Neodiprion lecontei: one gene and its partner. The protein of the gene in region 2 interacts with the protein of the main gene of each other region in a pairwise test. Links are inferred from orthologs where the notes say so. Each region holds a gene or a part of one and is shown on either strand. Other genes may lie near its edges.

The links.
Region 1: the proteins of electron transfer flavoprotein subunit alpha, mitochondrial (region 2) and electron transfer flavoprotein subunit beta interact in a two-hybrid assay, tested with the Drosophila melanogaster proteins (2 studies listed by BioGRID). The link is inferred for Neodiprion lecontei from reciprocal best matches to the Drosophila melanogaster genes wal and Etfb.

Annotation. Positions count from the first base shown.
Region 1 is NC_060266.1:1,976,341-1,980,807, reverse strand, and holds electron transfer flavoprotein subunit beta, read left to right. Parts: upstream 1-2,146; 5' UTR 2,147-2,266; coding exon 2,267-2,317; intron 2,318-2,595; coding exon 2,596-2,994; intron 2,995-3,172; coding exon 3,173-3,484; 3' UTR 3,485-3,944; downstream 3,945-4,467.
Region 2 is NC_060266.1:26,572,978-26,581,082, forward strand, and holds electron transfer flavoprotein subunit alpha, mitochondrial, read left to right. Parts: upstream 1-1,730; 5' UTR 1,731-1,828; coding exon 1,829-1,870; intron 1,871-2,130; coding exon 2,131-2,463; intron 2,464-2,563; coding exon 2,564-3,016; intron 3,017-3,169; coding exon 3,170-3,346; 3' UTR 3,347-4,810; intron 4,811-6,503; coding exon of another isoform or gene 6,504-6,509; 3' UTR 6,510-7,315; downstream 7,316-8,105. Other genes in the region: 6-pyruvoyl tetrahydrobiopterin synthase, read right to left, coding at 620-897, 1,005-1,084, 1,166-1,233.

The DNA of each region.
Region 1 (4,467 bases), about 25 Mb from region 2:
TTTATCATCTCGTGAATAAATAAATAAATAAATAAATAAATAAACGAATGTGAAATTTGTGTTAATTTGGCTGGAGCCACAGATGTGAACACCGTCGTTTTTATCATAGAAAGAAGAAAAACAAAAAATTGTATTCTTAACCAAGTATTGGTCAAAGTTAATTTTGTCAGCGAAGTTACGAGTATTCATAGTTGAAGTAATCGATTTCAAAAATCACATCAGTGATGACGATTGTAGTTCTCATTTTATTTATTGCATATAAATAATAATAATAATAATAACTACACGCATAAGTATAGAAGATATAGTTGGTAAACAGTAAATCCGAAAGGAAAATGAAAACGATGAAACAAAAAATATGTCATAAATGAAAATATTTAAACGATAATTTGAAACGTATACGGATGATACGTTCGGGATCATAGATATAAATTCTGTTCGCAAATTTAATATATTCGTCTCTGATATCAGAGTTGTGTACCCTTGAAAAGTGAAATCAATAATAAATACACAAACTGATCTACATCAAGTGCCTGTTTCCTTTTTTTCGTATAACGTTTTTCCGTTTCACTTATCTATTTTCCGAAAAATAGTAATCGGAAATATTAATACGTGATTGCAGTACTGCAAAATGTGGTGGAGAATTATCGGAAACAAAATACAAAGTAACCGATATCACGAAAAGCCAGCAGAAAAAAAAAACGAACCGACATTCCTCGACAATAATCAAGGATTAACAATTGAGTAGGTCGTAAGATTATTCTTCAATCGGACGATAAGTGAACGACGTAATAATAAATCTTTGTCACGCGGTATATATCTTATTAACACATTTCATATTTGTCGTACTTACTATGTTGCTGCTGAGATGCAATGATGCTGGTTCTTCCACTGTTGCTAGGCAGGAAATGCACAAATTTGCTCCGTTGTTGCTAGGCGATTTTCACTCGCTGCAAACTTCACAACTTTTCACCGCTGCAACAGTTTATATTTTCAAAATCTCACCCACATTACACAACTACAAACGACAACCTGTGGCTTCGGCGTCTCGAACACAACTGCTCGTCGCGTCGCGTGTATCACGAGACGTTTCGCAAATCAGGTAGAAGTTTGTAGCGTTATTGTAACGATGTATTATCGAGAAAAACCTCGCTATTTTGCTAGCTTAGAGTTACCTGAAATTCAGTAAAACGTAAGTACTCACATTTTGTAAATTCAACTCCTTCAGTCGTTTTCCGAAGCTGCAGAATAACAAGTTTTGTTTCAACGTTTCTTCTACGTTAACGTGACTAAGTTCAGCCTCATTCTCGTAGCGTTTAAACACCGGGACGCCTTCAGTTTGTTCTGTGTCGTAAACAACGACAGAATAATAGAAAATAATGATTAATCGTGTCGATCCGCTTCATAAATACAGATATTTTAATCCACTGCGTAATATTTCTTCTCCATTACGACAACAGATTTGCTATCCGAGTGAACTTGTCAACGCTCGTCGTGTGTTCCGGAACGTTCTGTCACCGCTGTGAATATATCTGCAAGGTAAATAACGCTCGTGAAAAAAAAAGAACATCAATGTGAGGAAGAAACGTTTTCCAAACAATAATTGATCGAACGAAAAGTGTTTTATCGCCGGTAAAAACGCCTCTAATAATGATTTTTCCCTGTGTTCTGACTCCGCGCGGTGTAGAGTTGATCGGACGAAATAAGCCGGCTGCATTAAATATGTGTAAACATTAATATCTCACAAATTGAGAGAAAAATCAATAAACACAGACGAGTCTGAATTCGAATGCGTTATCACGTGATACATTTCGAAAGGAAGAAGCTGCAAAGAGAAAAAAAGCTGTCTCTAAAAATCATCATCATCCGTACTCTACGCATCATCGGTGATTCAAATCGTAAACAGATCACACGGCTGGCATCAAGCGTGGAATCGACGATTCGTTAGTTCTTCAGAGCGGTTGGAGTTCGCCAAGGTAAATATTCACGACTGACGATGTCCTAATTAATCGAATTTATTGTTGCATCGCTGTGCATTCCGATCGCATCGAATCGAATCCCTTATTACTCCTCTTACTCCACATATGACGAATATTTTACTCTCGTTGTCGTGATGTAACCAATTCCCTATTTCCCCCTCTTACTCGAGCCACAGCTGCTCAAAGCGCTGTTTGGTCTGGATCAGAGTATCAGACCCTTACAACTAACCGAGCGGTGTGAATATCTTTGATTAAATCAGCGAAAGCCGTGGACGTGTTTATCAAAAATGGCTCGAGTTCTGGTCGGCGTTAAGCGAGTGATCGATTACGCGGTCAAGGTAAGTGGAAATAACTCTCCTCAGCCACTAATTAACTGCCTGTAAAAACCTGGCAAAACTGCAACACGTAGTTGTCAAATGAATGATGTACCTTAATTCCACTATGGGATCCACTATGGGATCAAAGTCCATCTGGCTAATCGAACTCTGCCTTGTATTTGCAATACTTATCGCAGATGTTAAGTTTTTTTTTCTAATTTATTGAACTGTAAAACCAATCCACCAGCGCTTCGTCCCTTGTATGATTTAACTCGCAACCTTCGGACTGATCCCCGCAGATTCGCGTGAAGCCGGACAAATCTGGCGTCGTAACCGATGGCGTCAAGCACGCGATGAACCCCTTCGATGAGATTGCGATAGAGGAGGCTGTGAGAATGAAAGAGAAGAAGCTTGCCTCGGAGATCATAGCGGTTTCCTGTGGCCCTCCACAAGCTCAAGAAACTATAAGAACCGCCTTGGCGATGGGTGCAGATCGGGGAATACACGTTGAGGTCGCTGGTGCGGAGTACGATACCCTGCAGCCCATTCACGTCTCTAAAATACTTGCCAAACTCGCTCAGGACGAGAAGGCAGACATCGTGATCGTGGGCAAGCAGGCTATCGACGACGACGCCAATCAGACTGCTCAGATGACTGCAGCCGTTCTCGACTGGCCAGCTGGAACATTTTGCAGCAAAGTATTTGCCAGTTTTACCCTGTTAATTTGTTCCATACACCGCCAGGCAATTATTCTCAAAGTCGCAAGATGTTATGTAACCGGTGAATTGCACAACGCAGACAGAGAAGATAACGTTTTACTTGTGTCGTAAATCATTTTCAATCCTTTTGTCAGATTGAATTTTCTTCTTTTCTTAGGTTGAACACGGATCTGGCGAGTTAACGATAACGCGCGAAGTAGACGGTGGTCTGGAGGTGATCAAAGTCAAAACACCAGCGGTTTTGAGCGCTGATTTGCGTCTCAACGAGCCGCGTTATGCTACTTTACCAAATATAATGAAGGCAAAGAAGAAACCGATAAAGAAAGTCAGCCCCAAGGATCTTGGCGTTGACACCGCGCCAAGAATTGATATTATTTCTGTCGAAGATCCACCTGTTAGACAGGCAGGATCGATTCTACCTGACGTAGACGCTTTGGTCGCCAAGCTGAAGGAAGGTGGACACATTTAACCCAATTTTGGCATAAAGAAAATGGACAAAGAAAAATATGAAACAGCTAGAGATCGTTGTTTACAAGAATTATATAAAATACAAACTGCCAGTTCTTAGTGAAAAAAATCGCAACTACCGAATAGAGGAGTTTCTACGTTTTTTTATCAAGGATAATATTTTTACTTCAAAGAGGGGAATTAATATGAAACTAAAATAAAAATAAAAAAATAAAAAATATTTCAATATTACCAATTGTACAGACTGAAGATTAATAAATTTATACAATGTTGAATCGTTGGTTAATATCGGTGTGTTGGAAGTTAGACATGTGGGTTTCCCCCGACGTCATGATTTTCATGTTTGTTTTTTTTGCATGTTTGTATATTTTAGATAAAATATTTTCATACAGAAATTATAATGTACTATGTATCATTCTCTTTGGTCAACTTAGCAGTAAATATATAGAATTGAATTATCACACCTAGTACATTAAAATTTAGTAATGATTATGGGGTGTCTAAGGTAAGGTAAAAGTTAGTAGTCCCTAATTTTACGATCAAAAGTCGCATAGATTCTGATTCGAAATTGTTTTTTATCTCATCATAATTGATGGTGAAACCTTTTCATGGATAATTCATCAAGTTTAACAACAATGGTAAACTGTTGTCAACAAACGAGAAATGAATTTCAGATGTCGCGTATGAATTGATTTAAAACACTGAGAAATTCAGGAATGTCACGAATATTAAAATTTAGATCGCTTACACCAGATTCATAATAACTTTCAATAACAACCAACAACAATTAACCCAGTAAATATAAGCCCGCGATACCCGTAATAACAACAAATATGTATACATACATTTACATTTATATAATAGTAAAATTCACGAAGAAACATATCTCCGACTGTAGCTAGTACAGTAACGATTAATAAATACATAAGTTCTAAATAACTAATACTTTTTTCAATAAGATTTAACGAGTTGTTCAAGAAAACT
Region 2 (8,105 bases):
CGGAATGTAATAGTACGTATACTATTTTTCCTATTAAGTTGCGCAAAGTCCGACCACTACAATTATTTTGAATAATTGAAACTTATTTTTGGGCGAAGCCCCCCGCCCAAAACAAAAAAACAAATTATAGAACTATTATAAATTTATTAAATTAAGAAAAATCTGATTTATTTATTATTTTCAATTATTATTAATATTTATCGTAACGTGACAATTTACAAAACGAAACGGTATATTTTAACGAACGTCAAAGTATCGCTCGCACGTGTCAATGCTAAGAGAGTGCCGCAGAGATGGCGCGCGCGTATATACCTTGGAATCGCTCGTATACTCTTATACATTCCCGCACGCTCAGCTACATCCCCGTTCGCTCAGTTGCATTCCCGCACGCTCTTGTCAACGTGTGGGAAAGCGGTACTTTGCGAACGCAAATGCATGCGCAAAATCGAACTTTGCGCAAGATAATAGGAAAAATTTCTTAATATCATTGATTAAGTAATAACGTACTTAAATTGTTGATCTGTGATTACTGTCATGTTCTCGAAAATATATTATTTCATATGCACATAGGCATATGCGCCCCTTTATAAAACGAACTCTTATCGATTGGCTCCAATAATTATTCGCCTCTATAAATTACAATATTTTTATCAGTTTCATATATTTTTACCTCGTACAATAAATCAGGTTTGGGCATTTCTTTCTTCAATTCATCGAAGACAAAAATAGCTACATTCTCTGTTGTCGAAACAACGTGCTTGAAATATGGCACATCTTTATCCAAATTTTTATGATCTAATTTATCCATCAACACATTTTTCATGTAAATTTTCAAATCGGAAATATTCATTACCATTCCAGTTTTTTCATCCACAGGACCTCGCACTGTGACCTCCACTGAAAAAAGAAAAAAAACATGAGTTGTGTATCGAAATTTTTTAATTACGCATTGAACAACTATAGTAATAATTATAGTACTTCAAGTAGATGCGTATGTTTTTTACCGGTGTAATTGTGTCCGTGCCCCCAAAAATTGTTACACTTTCCGTAAACTGCTGCATTCTGCTCGTCGGTCAAGTGTGGGCTTAAAAAATTTCCACGTTATTAATTAGTGGCATGCGTGCTTAATTATTGCGTCATCATTCATTTTTATATTATCGAATACCTATGAAGGCGATGGCAAGCAGATATTGTTTCTTTCCTGGTCAAATACACAACCGGCACTTGCGTCATGTCCTATTTATTTTAGATCGATATTATTACTTATTGTCGCACGTGACAACACGTTAAAGATGCTGAAGATTTGTAAGGAAAGTTCAAGGTGGCCTATGGCTGATTGAAAAAATGATCTGCGTATGTACAGTAGGTACATATGCTTATACACGTACGTGATTTACTTTTTATTATTTCGCTGGCATTCCCGACGTCGCAATATCCTGCAGTTGATTGATCTTGCTAAATCTGATTTCACAGTAATTACAACAGCGTTCGAATATTACATTAATATATGCTAGAATTGGGTAACTAAGTAGATACAGCTGGCGATTCACAGCTAGTTTTATTCACCGACTCTTTGCCGCCATGATGGAAAAAGTAGAGCTAGAGACCTCTGGCCGAAGCCCGTCGGTAAGCCGTAAGAATATCGTCATCACGTACGTATGTACCATATATCGGTCTATGTACATACATAAAACAAACTTTGGACTTGCCTATCAACTTTGCCACCGTGCTCCACTTCTTGCAACGCACAACAGTCGAGTGAGAAGTATTGCAAACTGAGACATATTTGGCAAACCTTATTTTCGTCAACCGTTGGAATAATTTCAAAATGTTTGTCAACTGTTCCCGTACGATCAGACACAAAACTCAGGTGAGCCAAACTTCAATGAAAATTGATAATTGATCAGTGCACAATTTCAAGTAGGTTGTATTAAATTTTTAGCTTCCTCTATCTTTACTACAATACTTATATAACAATTTTCTATTATGTTAATTTGATTGCCTCATCACGAGATTGATGTAATAAGCGAACCGTATCTCTTTACTCAATTACCTGATATGTTAAAATAATGTTTGGTTGTTTGAGCATCTAGGAGTTGGCCAAGTTTTATGTGAATTATCATCTTCCAGCTGAACAGTTTTTTGCAAAGATATCAATCGACTTTGGTAATTGCTGAGCATAATAACGAGGCTCTGTCGACGATAACCCAAAATGCATTAACCGCAGCCAGGCAAATCGGTGGGGATATCACTGTCTTGGTTGCTGGCACAAAGTGCGGGCCAGTAGCGGAGGCTGTATCCAAAGCTAACGGCGTAGCTAAGGTTTTGGTTGCCGAGAACGACGCCTTCAAGGGATTCGTCCCTGAAGCCATAACACCGCTGATATTAGCTACCCAAAAACAGTTCAACTTCAGCCACATTCTCGCAGGTGCCACAGCATTTGGAAAGGCTTTGCTGCCAAGAGTGGGTAGACAAATAATGAATAATTGCAGATACGAACAATATCCAGTCAGGGTGTTCGATAACTGAAGTTTAATATAAATAAAGATAATATAAATTTTAGGTAGCCGCCAAACTAGATGTTTCCCCGGTGAGTGATATAATCGGTGTTAAATCACCAGACACGTTTGTGAGAACAATATATGCGGGCAATGCTATACAAACTGTGAAAGCTAAGGACAGCGTAAAAGTTGTTTCTATTCGAGGGACTTCTTTCGAGGCAGCGCCTCTAGAAGGAGGGAGCGCCAAGCTAGAGCCAGCACCAGCGGGTGATTATAAGTCTAATTCGGTCGAGTTTGTAAAGCAAGAACTGACAAAGTCCGACAGACCAGCGCTCGCTTCTGCCAAAATTGTCATCTCTGGTGGGCGTGGGTTAAAATCCGGGGAAAACTTCCAGCTTCTGTACACGCTTGCCGATAAAATGAACGCAGCCGTTGGTGCTTCTCGTGCCGCAGTTGATGCTGGATTTGTACCGAATGACTTGCAAGTTGGACAGACTGGGAAAATTGTAGCGCCGGTGAGCTTACACAGATGTTCTGTTGAGATAATATTCCAATTTGAAAAAATTATACTCCATCCCAGATTGCTGAGCGATAGATAATTTTTGATTTAGTATGAAATCGATAAGACTTGGGAGGCGTCAAATCTATGAAAACGGTTTTACTTGCAGGACCTCTATGTCGCCGTGGGTATCTCCGGAGCGATTCAGCATCTTGCTGGAATGAAAGATTCAAAAACAATCGTAGCGATAAATAAAGATCCGGAAGCTCCTATTTTCCAAGTCGCTGATTACGGCTTGGTAGCAGATTTGTTCAAAGTGGTACCAGAGCTTACCGAGAAGGTGTAAATTACGCAGATACTAACGGCGTTGTTTCAAAAAAGGAAATCAAAATATCTTCCATAGGATTCGGTCATTAAACAAAGTTATCTAAGTCTTGTATATTTCAAAAAGCTACCAAGTTTCCGTGTGAGTACTATTTTGACAAGCGCTGTCTCTTATAGTAATTCCTATAATATTATTACATATCGTATCAAATAATATTTACACATTGATATGATTATCGCATGTTTTCTCGTGAGAAACGATGACTGGTAATTCGAGAAATAGTTGTGAGAACTCGAGCTCCTTTTGCAAATGCGTATCTTAACAAAATGGAAGATTACTTTATCATATAATAATGTAAATCATTCTTATACATACTTTTCGCTACAAAGTTGTGATTGAATGCGTTTATATAGTATGTCCAAATGTACAAAGATTATTCTCAACTTTTATACTTGAAGCTAAGAATTTGTTAAATGCTATAAAATAACTGACGAAAAAAATCTAGGTATATTATTTCAATAAATCTTTATCCGTCATGCAATTTCTATGGCATTGTTAGAAACTACGTAGAACTTTTACGAACGTAGAATTTCATCAGTGACAGGCAATGACCGGTTTGATATTTATTTCCATAAGCTTGGACACTTAGAACCACACGGTATATGCAAGCACAACGAATAGAATAGACGTCGAGGAGATTGTAGGTAGGAGGTAGAAGTCGGTAGGCAGAGGAAAGCAAAACAACGCGGGAGAAAAATTCTGCATGCGGATTGCGAAGGTCGTCTTTGTTAAAGTACGTTGCACTTATGCCGCATCATTGTCGTAGTTCCCCGTATATCGTATATGCACAGGCATACGTGTATTCCGCTCAAGCGCGTGCGCAAGGGGAGGAAGAATAAAATGTAAAACGAAATTGCGAAAAGAGCTTGCAATATGTTCGTAAGTTATCATTTTCTACCCAGTAGTCGAATCAAATGAAACTTGATCAACAAACGCGATCGGAACAATGTGCGTATTTACAAATTGGCAAGTCAAACCTCTAAAGTTCTCAGTTTGCAATACTACAAATTTTTCAACCTCTGTTACTACTCTTTAAAACTCTGTAGTAATAAATAAATGAACAAGCAAACCGTCCGGAGAGAAGTTGGAGAAGGTTAAACACGAGGCAGAAATCTCTTGTCAATGCCGTCCAGTTTGCAGATTTGCCAATGCTCTCACGCATTTCAATGCACATATATGTACCACACGCGCACAGTCTTGCGCTTTGTACGTGTTGCGCACAATGACGAACAAATTTAAGGTGGTGACTCGTGGATAACGTTAGGTAGTCGTGTTTAAATGAAAGGGAAAGCGCAGTTTGTGAATCGAGTCTCAGAACGAAGTTGAAGCCCGGTGCTCCTGCAACTGGCACCTGCGCAGTTCTACGACGCAGGTCGCAGTTCTAGTCCCGGGTGATTGAAAGTCGGCTGACTTATTCGATTTATGGTAGGTACACGTGGTTTATCCGTTTCTTCTATTTCTATTTCTATTCTTCCTCTCAGTCTTCACTCATCTCCACCTTCGACCTAACGTCTTCACCCCATTGTCAAATGTCATATCCACATGCGTGGTTGAAAATATTGCGATTAATTATAAAAAAAAAACATTTTAGTGTGAACTATGATTCTACGTGTAGGTAGACGAAAATTTTCGATCAAGTCATAGAAACAGATTTGCTTCTTGGGGTTAGGTGCGTGCTTTGACCCGCTCTCGAGTGTCGAAGTTTTGAATAATCGCAGCTTTTCTTCAGTCATCCTTGAATGCAACTAATGTTTGTTTTAGAACGCTTTACTGCAATCTGGGTAATTCAGCCGGGGAAATTTTCTAAATCTTCGCTTTTGTTTCACTCACCGCTGCGTAGATCGCTTGTGCCAAACAGGTTTTTATTCCCCAAGGTCGTGCGGCTTCCTATCTTCCTCGCGTGTTTTTCACTGTATTGTTATTTTTGCCGAGTTGATGGCGCGGATGTATCTCGGGCCGATTACATCAGTTTAAATGTTGACGAAACGCCGGACCTAATACTGATTCAGGTTTGGAGGTCATCCGTAATCATTTTTTAAACACAAAAGTCTCTCGCAACTTTGTGCTCATCTCACAAATTCATACCACAGCCGTCACTTCAGTCGTGAAAAAGTTTAGCAGTTTCGGATAACCTGCACGATTGTAATTCATCGCTATTGAAAGTAAGTCAGTGAAGTTGGTGGCCTTGTACTCTCAACGTGATGTAATTTCAAAGTGTGTCAGTTTGACTCGGCGTTGATGCTGCAGTTTGAAATTGAGTTTGAAATCGTCCCTCGCCTCGTGTCATTATTCGATAACCGTAAATTCCGATTCGCTTTGTTCGTATATACGTACATAACTCTCTTGACTGTCTCTCGACAATGCATGCGGCCAAGTTAACGAGATTGCGGCAAAGAAAGTGAAATTTTTCCAACGTTTGCGCAATCGACCCGTAATAGGTCTATTATTTAACTTGGGATTGTTGTAAAGTTGATCAAATACAGTGCTCTACCTGATTGTCAGCTTACTCATCTCTCCGTCGTACAGGTATCCCGTCGAAAATAACAGCATTACTCTATACTTGCGAGAGGCCCAAACAATTCGAGCCAGTTCATGTCAAGCGTAACAGGTGCAATAACATCTACTTTGCATTGTCGAGTGTGTGTCTTACCCCGGTAAAATTGACGTCACGTTATTAATTGCAACACAAGTTGTGAAATTTGCATAACGCGGAAGCTGGAATATCTTTCATTTAGCTTGTGATTCTTGCCAGAAATTATTTGAAACACCGAAGCGACTTCCATTGCGTCTTTTATACTCTTCTATTCGTTCTCGTACATTGCATATGCCGTAAAAAAGTGAAAACAACTCCGAATATTGTAGGTGCCTGTGTGTGTCTGTGGTATTTCAAGTGAGTTGTTCTTCCGATGCTTCATAATTTTAGGAAATTTGTAAGGTATGACGAACCAGCTGCACCTCCCATTATTTCCACTCACATTTTAGTCAAGTTTCATATTCTCGTGTAGGTAGACGAGAAAAATGCGATAGCTCACTTGAAAATTACGACAACAATTTAAAGTAATTATTATGTTGTTACTGCAGATTCAAAATGATTAAAATTTGTTGTAAATTGTTTCAGAATTGATTAAAATTGGATAGGAGAATATTTCAGTGGACAATGAACCGGAGGAACTTGTATAAACAGTAAAATACATAGAAATGGCTGTGAAAATTTAGACGTCGTCGCCCAGTTGAACGGAGACGTCAGAGCATCATATCGCATTTAATGACACCGAGCAACAGGGGCGGGGGGAGGGGAGGGAGTCCTTTAAACGTCAACGGCGAAGATTAGTGGTAGGAATTAAGAGTGGTAGGATAAATAAGGATCAAAATAAGCAGCGAAACAGTACATATCTACGACAATCAAAATGCTCGAGCCAGTGATAGGAATATCTCCAATTTGGTGGCTACTAGCTTACGCTAGCGTCTTGTTATTACTATCACCTTTGGTTTTACTTGTAGTATTGTTTTTGCCAAATTTACCGATTCTTGTGCTGAGAAGAATGTGTTACATACCAGTGGAGCCGATATAACCATTTCACTGAAGCTATAAGCGATCCCGAATGGAAACAAGCCTTCAGTGTAGGTATCTACCGGATTCCTAGATACACATACTGAGTTTTTCAATAGATTGACGAAATCTGCAGTAAACTCTGCTCTCTGCAGTCCCTGGACATTGAAGAAAGTGGTGTTAACTCGATCTGCATTCAAGATAGAATCGTACGCGATAATCCATGTAATACAAGATAGGTTTGATATTACTGCACTTAATATTAAACGTTTGTACACAGATTATGTAAATATTCGTGTAAGATATTGCTAACTCCAGTTAAAGAAAAAAAAACGAAGAAAATATATTTGTGTAAAATAAATCATTTATTGAAGATCAAACGAGCAACAATACTACCTGTTTCATCTTTGGAAGGGGTCGATCTTTTTTTGAGTATATCTCAGGAAACGATTACGATTGATTCACGACGACCTCGGAAGTGATTTAAAACGGGTTTGTAAATGCATTTTTTTCGGATCTTTCGAGTATGCGTCATATCCTGGTATGCACGATGCGTGACATACATCAATATATCTATACCCATAAATTGTATACTTCTGTATGCGGATTTTCAATATCTATTCTCGCTTTGTCACTTCGCATTTACGGTCAATTCTTTCAATGCGTTATAACCGGCCGAACCGGATCGCCAAGAGTCGTAAAATTATTTTTCACGTATCATCGCGTGGCCGTAACTCGGAGACAGTGAACCACGCTCGCATACACCACAGGCCGTGATGGCCAAGCTAACCTCATCGTCCGCTACCAAATGGAATATCAACTAGCCTGATATTATTAGAGCAGAATTTTAAGAGCCATTTAGAGATTCAGAATCTCCGAATCGGTATTTGTGAAATTTTTCGAATGTCTCGATTTCTTATGCACGAAACAAGCCGTCGGAAATATATTAATAATATGATGATTGATAACAGGTGAGAATAGGTAATTTACGGGACCACTGCTATGTAGTTTTAGCCTTCAGCCGTATTAAAATTCAATTATTCAAGGTGACCGCTGTCTCTTCCGTGTTCTACTATTAAAGATTCGGTTGTAAACAGATGCATGCTACTGGTTGAAAAGTGAATTCCGATCGCCGTAAACCGGACACCGTGTCATCTCCGACACCGTATC